Linked DNA regions of Astyanax mexicanus. The protein of the gene in region 2 interacts with the protein of the main gene of each other region in a biochemical or structural test. Links are inferred from orthologs where the notes say so. Each region holds a gene or a part of one and is shown on either strand. Other genes may lie near its edges. The genes, in order: btk and ibtk.

What was found.
Region 1: the proteins of ibtk (region 2) and btk form a complex in vitro, tested with the Homo sapiens proteins (2 studies listed by BioGRID). The link is inferred for Astyanax mexicanus from reciprocal best matches to the Homo sapiens genes IBTK and BTK.

What each region holds. Positions count from the first base shown.
Region 1 is NC_064417.1:53,807,682-53,815,583, reverse strand, and holds the start of btk (tyrosine-protein kinase BTK), read right to left. Parts: upstream 3,281-7,902; 5' UTR 3,170-3,280; intron 1-3,169. Other genes in the region: cytochrome b-c1 complex subunit 8, read right to left, coding at 4,969-5,063, 6,749-6,902. UniProt on the Homo sapiens protein: Non-receptor tyrosine kinase indispensable for B lymphocyte development, differentiation and signaling. Binding of antigen to the B-cell antigen receptor (BCR) triggers signaling that ultimately leads to B-cell activation.
Region 2 is NC_064413.1:27,035,598-27,043,483, reverse strand, and holds the start of ibtk (inhibitor of Bruton tyrosine kinase), read right to left. Parts: upstream 3,188-7,886; 5' UTR 2,805-3,187; intron 305-2,804; 5' UTR 1-304. Other genes in the region: tpbgb (trophoblast glycoprotein b), read left to right, coding at 7,170-7,886. UniProt on the Homo sapiens protein: Acts as an inhibitor of BTK tyrosine kinase activity, thereby playing a role in B-cell development. Down-regulates BTK kinase activity, leading to interference with BTK-mediated calcium mobilization and NF-kappa-B-driven transcription.

The DNA.
Region 1 (7,902 bases), on a different chromosome or scaffold from region 2:
AAGTTTAACACACCCGGTCCCCATTTACCGACCTTGTAACATTTACGAGTCACATGACATAAGAAGGGAAAAATGGCTAATTGGGCACAATTTGAGCATTTACACTTAGTGGTGTACTCACTTTTGTTAAAGCGGTTTAGACATTAATGTCTAATGTTTGTGTGTTGAGTTATTTTGAGGGAACAGTAAATGTACACTGTTATACTGTAGCTGTTCACTGACTACTCTACACTGTATTAAAGTCTCATATCTTTAGTGTTTCCTATGAAAAGATATAATAACATATTTACAAAAATGTGAGGGGTGTACTTCCTTTTCTGAGATACTGTATAAACACATTTCCTTTTTGTTTTGTTAAATATGGTTGTCTTGTCTTGTTATGTTGTATGTTGAGGCACAAATAAAGCGTTTAAAGCTGTTTACTGTATAACTCTCACAGCCTGACTCTCTGTTTTACACTGCTCTGTAAACAGTGTAGTGTTTATTCATCATTTAGTGTTTTTTTGTATATGCACAGGTTTTTAATGAAAACCAGCAATTACTATATATCTAGGAGTGTGCTTATGTATATACAGCTCTGGAAAAAAATAAGAGACCACTTCAGTTTCTGAATCAGTTCATATTCATAAAGTTTAAATAGTTGGTTGGTTTTTAATCACAGTTTTTGTTTTCATGCATCTTGGCATCATGTTCTCCTCCACCAGTCTTACACACTGCTTTTGGATAACTTTATGCTGCTTTACTCCTGGTGTAAAAATTCAAGCAGTTCAGTTTGGTGGTTTGATGGTTTGTGATCATCCGTCTTCCTCTTGATTATATTCCAGAGGTTTTCAATTTGGTAAAATCAAAGAAACTAATAATTTTAAGTGCTTTCTTATTTTTTTCCAGAGCTGTATAATCTTATTATGAAAATTTTATTATTCTATTTTGCTCTCTTAATTTTCTTAAAAGAAAATTAAATAAGCCATAGTCTGAACAGTTTATAATATATATATTGATTATATTGCACAACCAGTCCCCATCTGCCTGAATGGTTAAGCCACAGTGCAGTATATTATTCTTGTTATATAGCTAAGAGGTTTGTAAAGTAGAATGTATATATAATAATTCATTTATTCAGAAGGAATAATGATAAAATCAGTAAATCGAATAAATAAAATGTGTTTGTAAAGCTTTTTTAAATAATGATAAAACAGCACGCAAAAAATAAAACCTATTTAATAATAATAATAAATTATTTATTCATTTAAATAATAAAAAAATATAGTAGCCATACATTACTGGAGAAGGTCTAATACTAATGCTAAATATCTTCAGCTTGTCAGCTTTTTGTTTTGTTATTGTATATACACAAGTTTTTATACAATTTTAAAAACTGCAAATACTGCATATCTAGGAGTGTATGTAGAGTACTTTAATTCTCTGAATATATTGTTTGTTTGATTATATTTTATGCTCTTTAAACTTTTTTAAAGCAAACATATTTTGAATAATTTTAAATACTGATATTGCACCACTAGGTCTTAAAAATGAACCTGCTAACCCCATCATACCTCCCCCCATTATATTATGCAACAGTGTGTTGAGTAAATATTGGTCATTATATAGTTACTCTCACAGCCTGATATTCTGTTTTATGCTGTTCTGTGCCATAAACACAGTGTAGAGTGTTTCGGTGTTCATTTTATTTATTCTCATTGCATGTGCACAGTTTTCATTTTTTAATGAAAACTGCAAATATTGTATATCTAGTATGTATGTAGATTACTTTATTACTCTGAATATATTGTTTGTTTGATTATATTTCCTGCTCTTTAAGTTTTAAGTGTACGTAGGATAATTAATAACTCTTGAATATTTTGTTTGTTTGATTTCTTGCTCTTTAAATTTTCCCAACAAAAACTAAAACAAACACATTCTAAACATCTTTAAATACTGATATTGCACCAACAGGTCTCAAAAATGAACCCCTTTAACCTCGTCATACCTCCCTCCATTATATTATATATTTAACAGTATACTAAGTAAATATCAGTCATTATACAGTTATTCCCACAGCCTCATATTCTGTTTTACGCTGCTCTGTGCAATAAAGACAGTGTAGAGTGTTTATTTGTAAATTATATGTATTTTATTATGAAAACTGCAAATACTGCATACCTAGTATGTATGTAGAGTACTTTATTACTCTAAATATATTTTTTTATTAATTATATTTTCTGCTGTTTAAATTTTCCCAACTAAAAAACTAAAACAAACATATTCTAAACATTTTTAAATACTAATATTGCACATATTGCACTAACAGGTCTCAAAAATTAACCCCCTAACCTTGTCATTCCTCCCTCCATTATATTATATATTTAACAGTGTACTGAGTAAATATCAGTCATTATACAGTTATTCTCACAGCCTGATATTCTGTTTTACGCTGCCCTGTTCCATAAACACAGTGTAGAGTGTTTATTTGTTAGTTGTATGTATTTTTATTGCATATGCACAGAAATTGAATAAAAACTGCAAAAATTACTGTGTATATATGAGTGTACGTAGAGTGATTAATAACTCTAGAATATTGTTTGTTTGATTATACTGCAATTACTGTATATCTAGGAGTGTATGTAGAGTACTTTATTACTCTGAATATATTGTTTGATTAATTATATTTTCTGCCCATTACATTTTCCCAACAAAAAAAACTAAAACAGACATATTCTAAACATCTTTAAATACTGATATTGCACATATTGCACCAACCGGTCTCAAAAATGAACCCTCAAACCTTGTCATACCTCCCTTCATTATATATAATACATTATATTATTATGTACAGTGTACTGAGGAAATAAAATATATTATACAGTTATTCCCACAGCCTGATATTTTGTTTTATGCTGCTCTGTACAATAAACACAGTGTATAGTGTTCATTTGTTAATTGTATGTATTTTTATTGCATATGCACAGATTTTTTTATGAAAATTGCAATTACTGTATATCTAGGAGTGTTTTTTTTTATATTATTATATTTTTGTATTGATTATATGTGCTGATCTCAGATTTGTCCCAATAGAAATCTAAAAAATACATATTTTAAACATTTTAAATACTGATATTGCACCACCAGATCTCAAATATGACCCCCACCCCCATACCCAGTCAGTGCTTACCTGACTCCCAGATCCTCTCTGACCCGTTAACCCAGTCTGATGCCCGGTCTCTGAGCTGGCACTCACTGGTTTCCGTGTGTTACTGGTGCTGAGTGAGGGTGAATACGAGCTGCAGTTGAGTTAAACCCCACCCTTTCACAGGACTTTTCATCAGTTCCCCTTTTGCTTCCTGCTCATTTTCATATAACGCTCTGTTATACACTGTTAAAATACTTTAGCACCTCCACTAGCCTGCAGAGCGACAGCACTACAGCTGAGAAAAAAAAATACAAAGTTATCCAAAAGCAGTGTGTAAGACTGGTGGAGGAGAACATGATGCCAAGATGCATAAAAACGGATTAAAAACCAGGGTTATTTAACCAATTATTGATTATTTTTGAACTCCTAAACCTTTATGAATATGAACTTGTTTTCTTTGCATTATTTGAGGTCTGAAAGCTCTGCATATTTTTTGTTATTTTAGCCGTTTCTCTAAGTACTCTAAGTGACAATATTTTTATTTGAAATTCGGGAGAAATGTTGTCTGTAGTTTATAGAATAAAACAACAATGTCCATTTTACTCAAACATAAACCTATAAATAGCCAAGCGTACACCCAGATTTGTTTGAATAATTAAATAAAATAACATTGCTGTTCCCGTAAATGAGCTGCTGGAGCTCCTTCACAGCGTCAACCAGCAGCTCAGTTTCCTCTGCTGAGAAGAGTTTGTTGAACACGTCCAGGTAGCTGCACCGTTACAATAGCAATCCACCAAAGTCAGAGCACACCTGATCTACTCTTAAAGAGAATGATGAGAAAGAGACACTCTGGTTTATGTCATGTAACGCCCAAAATTAACCACACACATGATTAATTAATAAAATTAGTACATGATATATGTTTATACTTCTCATTCAATCACAATCAGATTCACACTATAGGGGTTTTATTAAATGACGAGAAGCTGGCATGAAAACAAGCTGAAATGAAACAGGAATAATGAGGCTATTTTTAAAATGTAAGGAGTAAAAAAGGACATAATTGTGTGAAAATATATGATTACTTTAGTAAAGTATAGATAACCAACATTCCTACTTAAGTAAGACAATTAAGTATTTGTACATAAGTTAACACCTCAAACCTAATTTACAATTACCTACACTTCCTAACTAGGCAGATTGATCCTTCCTGCAGCGTTCATGCACTTTTTAACCAATACATTTCCATTATATTTTTCATGACTATTTCATGCTTTCAAGGCAAATTTTTTATGACCATACAATTTTTAAATCATCAGTGCAGACATTGGTAATAAAACTAAAAATCAACTAAAACTATAATCAAAATTGATTATAGCAGGTCTAAAATAGATCAGATAAAATGTTGACCCTAACCCTTTAACAACCTTTAATGATAAAATGTTTATTACATCCTGAGAGCTTCATTGTGTAGAGCTAAATTACTCAATTAACCCTCTTTTCCTTCTTCCCCTTCTTCACTCCTCTACCCCATTATTTCCCCTATGACCTCCTTTAAGCCCTACCTAAAAGATGTTTTACTTTTAACTTCTATTACTTTTGTACGTCTCTATTGTAAGTCGCTTTGGACAAAAGCGTCTGCCAAATGTAATGTAATGTAATGTAATGTAACTCTGAGCTGATGTAATTGTAGTTCTAGTCAAATAGTCAAAATTTTCTCAAAATCTCACTTTTCATAACAAATATAAACCTACTACAAAATGAAGACATGAGAATATCTTTATAGATCATTTAATAATATAATAAACATTAAACATGGACAAAAGGGACAGTGATAGGATTTAATTTTCATGCTCGTGGTCGGCGAGGTTCTTCCTCTTGCCCTGCTCGTGGACGTGATTGCCCCAAGTGTAGGTCAGGTACATCAGAACCATGGCTGTGAAAGAGAGTAAAGGAAATATTAAATCACCCAAACATAATCAATACAGTTCCTACACTTAAATAAATACCAAAACTGTTATTTAAAATGAAAAAGAAAAAAAGTAACGTGTGTGTGTGTGTGTGTTTATGAGTAAAAAACTGTATGTTGCTATTGTATATTTTAATGGGGAAATGCACAGATGTATTATTTATAATATTTTTTAACCAGTAATTAAGAGTATCTCGATTACAAATAAAGTATTGAGGCATTTTCTTTGAATCAAGGAATAAATAATAAAGCTTAAACAACATTGTATTTTACCCTGACTACTTTGAAAGTGGCACAACGCATTTACCTCACCCACAAAAAGAGAAAAGAGAAAAAGAGCATGACCCGAGACAACGCAAGATTAACCAAGCGGAAATCAATGAGATTAACCTTTAATTAAGTGTCCTTAATGTCCTTTACTTGTCTGCTGACATAACAAGAGCCCTGCGGAGGTCTACGTTTCTGTTTCACTGCTGTTGAATGTGTGGGCAGTTTATTATAATGGTCATAAGCATGCCCTTAAGGTTACTCTAGACTTCATAAATGGTTTGTTTATTTATTACTATATATATCAGTAAAAATACAGAGCTGTTATATTAATAAGCTAAAAAATAAAGGTAAACGTAGGCAATGTTTATTTATTTATTTATTAATGCCTTTTTTATATTTACAAGAAACACTAAGTTAAGCATATTTTAAATTGTATTTATTTTTATTTGTGTTAACAATTGGAAACGTTCCTAGACAAGTGCTAAGCACAATGTGAATTTAAGAAAGAAAAATGTAAATCCAAAAAAAACAATTGGTTGTTTATTATTAAGTGATTTTATTAAGTGGTTTATTATTAAGTTTTCTATTGTGTATTTATAATTGCCCTTTAAGCAGGCAAAAAAAGCCCTAATGTAAAGTGATAGAGATAAACTAGGGTTAATTATTGATTATTTTCATTCTGAATCACTCAATATTAAATTGGTAATTAACAGATAAGCTTAATGAGGGGTGGTACAGCAAAGATAAAACTTAAACTCAGTCCGACAAAAAGAAAAATTACACAAGATACGACTGCCTCATCTGCCACTTCCTGCACGTTCCTGCATAAACACATTTTGCAAAGATCATAACATTTTTACACTAAAATATTCCAAAAAAAGAATAGATCATAAACTGCATTAAATTAATGGTGGTTAAATAGGACACTAAAAGGTTTCCACTATATTACAGATTTCATCTTAACAGTATGATTGGTTGTTCACTGATACTAAATGATACTGAAAGCTATACTAACCTTTCCACACAGTATTTGGGACTTTTATTATGAAAACAAAACGAAAATTTAGAGATAATTGCCAATGCAGGCAATGCCAGCTGTTCTTTAGACAAATAACAGTTGATGTTTATTATCAGAATGATGTTACTGTGCTGGTTAGATATGTTAAATTCTGCTTTTAAGAATTTTGTGTACTTAAGAGGCTGATGTGGCAAAACAGTTTAAAAAACTGATTTAACTTAACTAGAACATTGTGGAGCAGGCACATAGAGACATGTCTCTACTCTATTAAATCCTGTTTCTAATGCATGTCCCTCACACAGAAATGCCCTTATACATTTCTGTTAAATCTGTACACAGATTTGATGGTGCTGAAGGAACTTACGTGGTGCAACCTTGAAGACGGATGCTCTGAATCGTCTCCAAACGTTGGGAATTCCCTTTGAAAAGTAGTTGGCGAAAGCTCTCTGCTCAAACGGAGAGATGCTGTAGGTGATTATGTGCCGGACCTTGGCCAAATCTCCAAAGTGGCGTCCCATCGTGTCCAGAGACCTGGTTTGAAGACAACACAGATCCTTAATTAGCTTAGTTGATGATGGAAAAACAACCTTCACTTAACATATTCTTGTGAGGGTCACTTAAGTGTAAAATTTGACAATGAATCTGCATTCATTCAAAGTTTATAGATTTGAAATAGCTGGGGATCTGAGTCTACAATTATAATAGCGCTCTTAGGAGAAGGGAGCTCCCCACAAACAATTAATTTAATAACAATAATAATAATTATATAATTATGTCACTTTCTACACTGCCGTATAACAGTACAGGCTATACGAAAGTAGAAGGGAATTTAAAAAAGACATACATAATTAATATAAGTCAAGATTAAAATAAAGGTGTAAAATCGAAAACAAAAAACTAATTCCTACATCCGAAATAAATGTAAAAATGTATGTTCATTCAACATTCAGTAAACTTCAGTTCTTCTGGGTGTTTTATTAAATAAAATCTACAAATAGGCTCTCTGTGGTGTCTGTCCTGCTAGTTATGATAAGTAAAGACATTTAGTACAGCCTGTTCTATTGTCAAACATAATGTCTTACAACACTACAGACAAAAATAATAAAATAATCTTTAAAAAATTGACTTTTTTTCTCATAAATCACCATCTAACAATGCTCAGCAAATCAGATCATCTGATTGTACCCCTTTAGGATAACGGTCTATATCAAGAGCATGATTATGCTAATATATTATTCCTAATCAAAATACAATCTAATTTAAAGTATTTAGGTAAGTTTACTGCTTATTAATGAAGGTTACAGGTTATAGATGTTGCATTTATGTTGTAGTAGTCTTATGATTGATTTTTGTTTTTAAGTAAATTAAATAGCTAATTAGTTTAATGTAGTATATTATAGTGAAATTGGGGACAAGACAATGGTGGAGATTAGTTAAGTGAAGGAATCTAGTATTAGAAAGCCATTAAAATGACCTAAATCACATTTAATGTTGATTAGCAATATTAATTAGCTTAAT
Region 2 (7,886 bases):
CCACCTCACCTCAGTCCACCATATTAACAAAAACCCACACTACCCAGTGCAGAAAAAAAACAATCAATGGCATCAAAAAAGGATAAATATTTGGCTATTTTTTATGTACAAAAGTTTTATAAATATATTCTCAGTTATTCAAAAATACTTGTTTCACTTGTAGTCTAGTTTAGATCATTGTGCAAAAGGCAACAAACTCTTCAACCACCCAAAAAGTCCATCAAAACAGTCCATCCAGTTTGAGGGGAAAGACTCCTTCCCCCCAACACTAATCTTTTTAAGCCTCCATAATTGTAAACGGTACCTGTGCAGAAAATAACAATCATCAGATTAATTCACAAGTTAAAAAGATGCATGCTGTATTTTCCAAGAATTGTTCACAAAGTTTTTTTTTATGTTTTATGGGTTAGAATAATGTGTTGTGGGTTTGTCATTTTGTGCATAGTAGGGGTGTCACGATTCTCTAAATCCTCGATTCGATTTCATTTTCGATTTGAGGGTCACGATTCGATTCGATTCTCGATTTTCTTGTTTTTTTTTCTTGTTATTATTTTATGCCTCATAAAATTTAAATAATATATTTATTATTATTATTATTATTATTATAAATATTATAAATATTATTATTATTATTTATTAAGATATATATGGTAATGCCATCTAGTGACTTTTTTTGGTAGCAACAGTGTGCACTATTAAAATAAGCAGTTTATCAGAGCTGTGTGTGGATGGCTGGTGAAACTGCTCATTACATGAAGCTGCAGTTCTTCATCCAACCACTAGCAGCAGCAGCACAAGCCCCGCTCTTTTCACTCAGTCACTACTTCAGTACAGCCCAGCCACGGGCTACAGAGCTCAGCCAGTCCGTTTTTACTGTTTCTGTAAACAAATAAAGGTTTTAACCCCACTAACCGGATAATACAGCTCACTACAGTTCATCTTTCAGCCCAAGCAGCTAACAGCAGCAGGTTAGAACAGCCGACACGGAGGCACTGCTCGGAATACATTATAAACAGGTCAGTTAGCGCGCTGCTAACCTCAGGATGTTTATAACTACGGAGTTTAGTGGACACACCACGCCGCCAGGTAAGTCTTTTAAAGGCTACTGAAGACTATTAAAGGCTATTAGAGTGTAACCCCTGGCTCCCAGGGGTTACAAGAGGTTATTGAAAGCATTATTGGGGGGCAGAAATCAGTACAGGCTGGTTAGATAAGTGATGTGGGTATTGTCTTATAAATATTTACACATAACTTATATCTCTCCTGAAAAGCTTTTATTTTAGTCAGAAACACGCTTGTGTTTACTTTATCTGAGAGAAAGATGTTTTTTTAATTCAATGGAAAGCAACAGGTGTAGTCAATTATAAGTTTAAGATTTTTAATCCACCTCACTGTGATCTATAGTCAGTGTTCTCAAGTCACACTGACACACGCATTTCAGCGAGTTCACACGCTCTCACCTGCGCGCACCCACCCCTCCGTTAGATACAGATACAAAACCTGCGCGCCCAACCCCCGCCCCCCCCCTCCCCCGTTGGACAGATAAAAACAGTGATCACACTCCCGCCGACTGCGCTTATGCAGTGGCTATCTCTATTTAAATGAATAGGATGCGCTGTGTTGGTGCCGCGCCATTTGCGTAGCGCGCTGCGCTATTTGCGTAGCGCGCGCGGGAGGGATCGTCGATCCTCTTTTTGACTTCGATACTCGAGATCGTGACCTCATTTCGATTCGATTTCGATAAAATATCGAGATCGTGACACCCCTAGTGCATAGTAAACTTTGTTAATAAACTTTACCTATGTTTCTAAGTATTTCATCTGTAAATACACCAACAAAAATATTTATATTTTTTCCATTACTCTGCTAAAAACAGTACCAGTACAATTTTACAAATTTTCAAGTAATGTGTAATGTTTTTGTTAGTTTTTTGTTTTGTTTTTTTACTTTATTTTTCCGATCATTTCAATTTCGGGAGATTAATCTTCAGGGCAATTCCATTCAAACTGGCAAATTGATTCACTAGATTACCTGTATGGATCAAATTTAACGCTTCACATTTCTACAAATCTACAAGGCATTTGAGTAGTTGTATGAAGTGGTTTGTGTGGATGTGTCAGAACGGTGGTGAGACAGTGAATAATGCTCCATGCAATCATATCTATGGCGCCACATATATACATAATGTCTGTAGAGCACAGACATAATACATCAGTAATTTTTGCACACATAATTATAGCTTCAGCAACAAAACAAATCCCTCATCTTCTCAAGTTAAGGAAGAATATTGTGAATAAAAAAATGTTTTTTTTTATGAGTTAAGAGTGTCTCTTGACATGTAGGCTGTGGATTTCAGAGTCAAAATGTTCCTCCAAAAGTAGCTACAGGACTTGTCACACAACACTGTTGTGTTAGCTTTAGCTATAGCTTTGAACAGAGCTGTTTATGTTACAAACTTAGCTAATGTTGGGTAACTTGAAGAGCTAGTTATCAAACTGACATTAACCTGCTAGCTAGCGGGCTAACTGTTTTGCAACACAGAGGTGTGCATGCACTGATATATACAAACAATTATAACTACATATTCTTAAATAAAACGGGCCTAACTACTCTTGCTAAGGGCTGCATATAAGGCATGAATAGTTAGTAGCTAGTTAGGGGAATACTTTACAAAGTTAAGAGAAGAAAGCTAAGCTAGGCTAACTAGCTGACGTTAGCTTAGCATATTTGGGATGACATCACCAGTTAAACAGGCTGTAAACCCTCACAGCAGCCCGGCCCAGAGCTCCCGCTCTGTCACCCACCTGCCGTTAGATGAAGGAGAAACTGGGGTTTGAGTCGGAGTCAGTGTAGCAAATCCACAGACACATCTTCAGAGGAATGTTTTAGCTTTTATAAATGATCTGTAGCGCTGCAGACCGGACAGGTTACAGACCGAGAGAGCAGTAAGGAGCGCTGGGATTGGCTCCGGGGATCCTGTATCCTCCGCCTCTATTGGACTCTGCCTCTCTGACTGCTGTGGGGATGTGGCTCATAAAGTCCAGAGCTTTAAAGCTGTCTAGATTATAAACATAACAAGTAGCCTAGTTTCTCATTCAGCAATCTAAAAAATGTCTATTTTAATATGAGCGACTTCTGCACTCAGTGTGCCCATGGCTGGAAGTCGATAGGTTTAGAGGAGCCCTGTGCTGCAACTTCTCCTCCCATATGTGGGGCACTGATAGCACGAGGGTGTCCCCCCGCCTGCGTCACCGGCTGGACAGAATCGTTGACCGAGAGCTGTAACCTACAGGTTTCCATCACTGGACATTTACCACAGTGTCTTTTTCGAAATATAAGCATTCATAAAAAATATGATGTAAAAAAGGGTTATTTTTTATTTGTGCGACAGTTTATTTGTGCTTTAACATTTTAATTCACTAACTTCTGTTAAGCCTAAGTAGTGGGCGGGGCTAGGAACTGCGTTGAGAGCAGCGGGGAGCAGAGAGAGAGAGACCTAGCATTCAGATGGGAGCTCTTGATAAAAACGTCGACCAGGTAAAGAAATTGATCAGATTTTGTGGTTGATTATATAAAAATATACGAAATTGTATTTTGGGGTGTTTTAGAGAGAAAAAAATGTTTACTACAGTACAAGCAGATATAGCATGTTTTACAAATAAATCTACCTCTCAGTTATGTTAGTTTAGTTGCCAGGGCCTCATATATGCTAACAACATAATGTAAAAAATAAAATTGTATTTTAGGTATTTTAGGATGTTTTAGGTAGAAAAATAGGATGTGCTTTAAATATAATAAAAACAAGGGAATAAACTAACAAGGGAATAGTGTCGGACCCTGAAATAGTTATTTACTTAAGTCACTTTTGTAAGTAAAATTAGGTGTTGAACAACCTGTTAAGAATACACCAGAATGCAGAAAATGGCATCTAATTCATAAGCACTTTATGGGGAAGGATCCAAAGACCATACATCCCCACCCCCCATTAAAAATGCTTCTGAAACCCCTGGGTCCCAGGTAATAAGGCCTTTATGGGTAGCCCAACTGGAAATCAAAAAGGTTTGTCCATGGGTTCCACATATGAATGTCAGTGATGGACCCCATCAAGTCTGTAATGAGACCAGGAGGTGTTAAACATGGGCCCCATCTGGGTTATTCACTGCACATGAGGCCTAAATTGGACTAACATGAGAATGAGGTTGGCTGTAATCATATGCTCAAAGACAAACACATGTAAAACATACTCAGAGCTTATACCAACCTGAAGAGGTCACAATGCCCAATTTAAAATTCCCAATTTAACCTTTGGTGTCAGACGGAATGTTGGATAAGTGGTCGTTGTCATCTTTAGGACAATTAGTCAATGAGTCAGTGTTTTATACAAAAATGTAGACCTAGTCCTGGCCTACACAGTATTCTGATTCTGACTCTACATTGAAAGTACCATCACTAAGGTTAATGTTTGTCTGGGATTTTTTTTTACCACTTTAAACTTTCTGGATAATATGCATAAATAAAAGTGTCCTTCAGTTATGTCACTAATAGCACTGCTTTGTGGCTTATGTAATTCAGACTACTATCTGGGTGCAAACTGAGCACTCTCTCGGTCAGCTGTTGTGGGTAGTGATATGCTGCAGGAGTGACCTTACTCCAGTACTCAGGGACTCAGGTTGGCCAACTGAACCAGAATTAGAACAGCAGGAGTAGTGCAGGAGTGTGGGGTTGCAGGACATGATTCACAAGCCAGAAAACGGATATTCAGATATTTGGCACCCCAAGTAAAAACATAGCCACTACTGATATCTAAATATATTCTCCTCAATTATAAATATCACTTGTAAATCCTAAAATACTCTCTTTAAAAAAGGTCACTAACCCAGCAGCAGGACCAGTATCTGCTCCTTTGGATTGCACAAGGAGGGTTGTACAATCCTACTGTTGGGTACCAATATGAAATCCATAGAGCCACTGTCTGACTGTTGGCCCCAAATTCATCCTGGTGCAGGACAATGCTCGGCCTCATGTGATCAGAGTGTGTTTAGATCAGAGCAGTTTAATTTGATTTTTAATAGAAATTTGAATCCATGTTTGAGCAATAAATAATATTTAATTGCAATTACATATTATTAATGAATTTAAAGTAGGATATCGTTTTTGGTCTGGAAATGAAACCTGTTCTCTCTTTTGTGATTTAAAGTTTAAAGGAATATTTTTCTTTCTCCTGTAAAGTGGCCAAATTTGGAGATTTTATTCCATCAGCACCAGTATAGTACTGTCTTATTGTCCTTTTAAATCACAATGTATGTTTACTTTTGCTTAGGTACAATGCTTATTAATACCCAAAAAATGTTCTACAAACTTTACATTGTTTTATGTCCACCCAAAAAAAAAAGGATCTGTGAATTTAAGCATTTCAATGTCTGTTTTACTTTTGTTGAAAGTATTAGAAACATTGTTTCATCTGAAACCAAGAGGATGCCATCAGCCCAGTGAACACAGTTCCACTGCCCCACTTCTACTCCACCTGTAGCCCATGTCAGGCATTAGGCATGGCACCAATTGGTTCATGCTTATCTTTTCCAGAGAATCCATTTCTATTGGCAATACTTCTCTACAGGGACTAGACATGTGTGTGCTATTGCACCTCTTTTTTTTTTTTTAGCAATAAGTGAAACTTAGGTAGCTGAATGCATTAACTAAAATATTGTAGATGTTTTTTTCTCATTATTACATAAACTGCTATCTCATTATTTTGAGATATTAAGTTGTTATTTTGAACAAATTAAAGTTTTTACTGACTTCAGAATAATGACTCAACTTAATAAGGTAACATCTAAAAATAATGAGACAACTTCTCAAAATAATGAAATGACCAAATTGATGATATATTAGGTATCTCAAAATTAAATGGCATCTCAAAATAAAAGATAACATCTCAAAATGTGATAGTATCGCAACATAATGAGATAGCATCTTAGAATAATGAGATTACATCTCAAAACAATGAACTAGTATCCTAAAATAACGAGAAAACCCCTCAGAATAATGTGAGAGTATCTTAAAATTAATGGAAAACATCTCTAAATTAAGATGTACCTAAAATAATGATATAATATCTTAAACTATTGGGACAGTATCTTAAAATTACTATATAACATCAAAATAATGACTTAGTATCTCAAAATGATGTCTCATTTTTATTTTTAGGAGGCAGGAATGGGCTTTAAAAAGATTAAAATGTATTGTTGTGGCAAATGTGTATCTATTTAGTCAGCTAGAAAAACTTAGACAGTAAAATTAGATAGGCCCATGTATTTTTTCCTGGGAACATTCCAAATAGTATTACAGGGGTATTCCATCGCGTTTGTTTCCGTACAGTGTAAAAGTAGATTAATAATGATTTTGAATATTGTCTTTGATGTACACAGAGTGTAAATAGCTAAAAAAAATCGAAGGTTGGGTCGTGAACCAGATAGACCACGCTGTCGTGCGGGTAATGTTGGGTGTGTTAAGTGTGGTGTGTGTGTGGTGAGTCTCGCGGGCTCCCCCGTCCGCTGCTGTAATGGTTGAGTCCACTCAGCGGTCTGTGGACAGGCTGTAGGGAACGGGCGAGGAGGAGGAATCCAACTCGGCGGAGTCCGGGTGCTGCGCTCAAAACCAGTGTCATGAAAATCCGAAAAGATTACAGAATCCACAAGGGAAAGGGAAAAGTTGGATGGTTCTGGATGTATATCAGCGCGACCAAACGGTTAAAACCTGAACAGTTCACCCAGAGGAGGTAATTTCTGTTGTTTTGGAGGGACTGCGGGGAGGTATCTAAGTAGACTGGAGCAGATTTAACTTTTGCCTGAAGTGATGAAGGAGAAGCAGCACCGCCAGCTCAACTACCAGCTCTAAAACTCAACAAAGAAGAGGAATAATGAAGACTGTGTGAGTCTGAGACCTTTTAAACTGCTGGATTCCATGTTAGCTTGTGTTTTTTGCCTCAACCCCGTTACTACGTAAGTCAGAAGTCCAGAGGGAGGAATGGGAGGAATGTGACTGTACTCCAGGAATTTGAAATAAACACTGAGCCTCTGTAGCAGACCTGTCTTCGTTTTTCTACTTAGACAATTGTGTTACACTCTTTCTGGGATTCAGTCACCTTCATTTGTCATTTAAATGCAAACATGTTGGTAGTGAAAGAGAAACATGCTCACCACCGCCTCCTGACTCTCTGCCTGCTGCTTGTTCTGTCATTCTTTGTCCCAGTCTCTTCTCTGGACTGTCCTGATAAATGTATTTGCACATCAACAACGGTAAAATGCCTTTACCAGAACTTAATATCCATTCCACAGCCTCTACCACCAAACACAACAGCACTTTTCCTCAATGGAAACAACATTACCCATCTAACTGAGGACTCATTCCCTGCTCCTCTAGAGTTTTTGACAGACCTCTATCTGTCTGGAAACCAAATAGAGCAAGTGGACCCTGGAGTGTTTGACAACTTGCCCAGTCTCCATTCACTAGACCTGAGCAACAACAGGATGCTGAATTTCAGCCCTGATGCTTTCCCAGAGAACAATAAGCTTAAGGTCTTAAACCTCAGTCGCTCTTTGTACAACGTTTCGTACACGGGCATAATTTCCAACATTTTAAAGCACAGTGTTCCTAAACTTTCCCTTCTTAACCTGTCCAGCAGTGACCTGATCCTGCTTCCAGATACCATTACCAGTTTACCTGACCTAAGCACTTTGGACTTGAGGAACAATTCAATAATCTCAATAAAAAATGTCACTTTCAGAAGTCAAGGGTTAAACCATCTTGACCTGCGGGACAACATTCTGAAGAAGATACCCAATGGGACTTTGGCCGATTTCAGCCAGATACCTGGGCTTCGACTC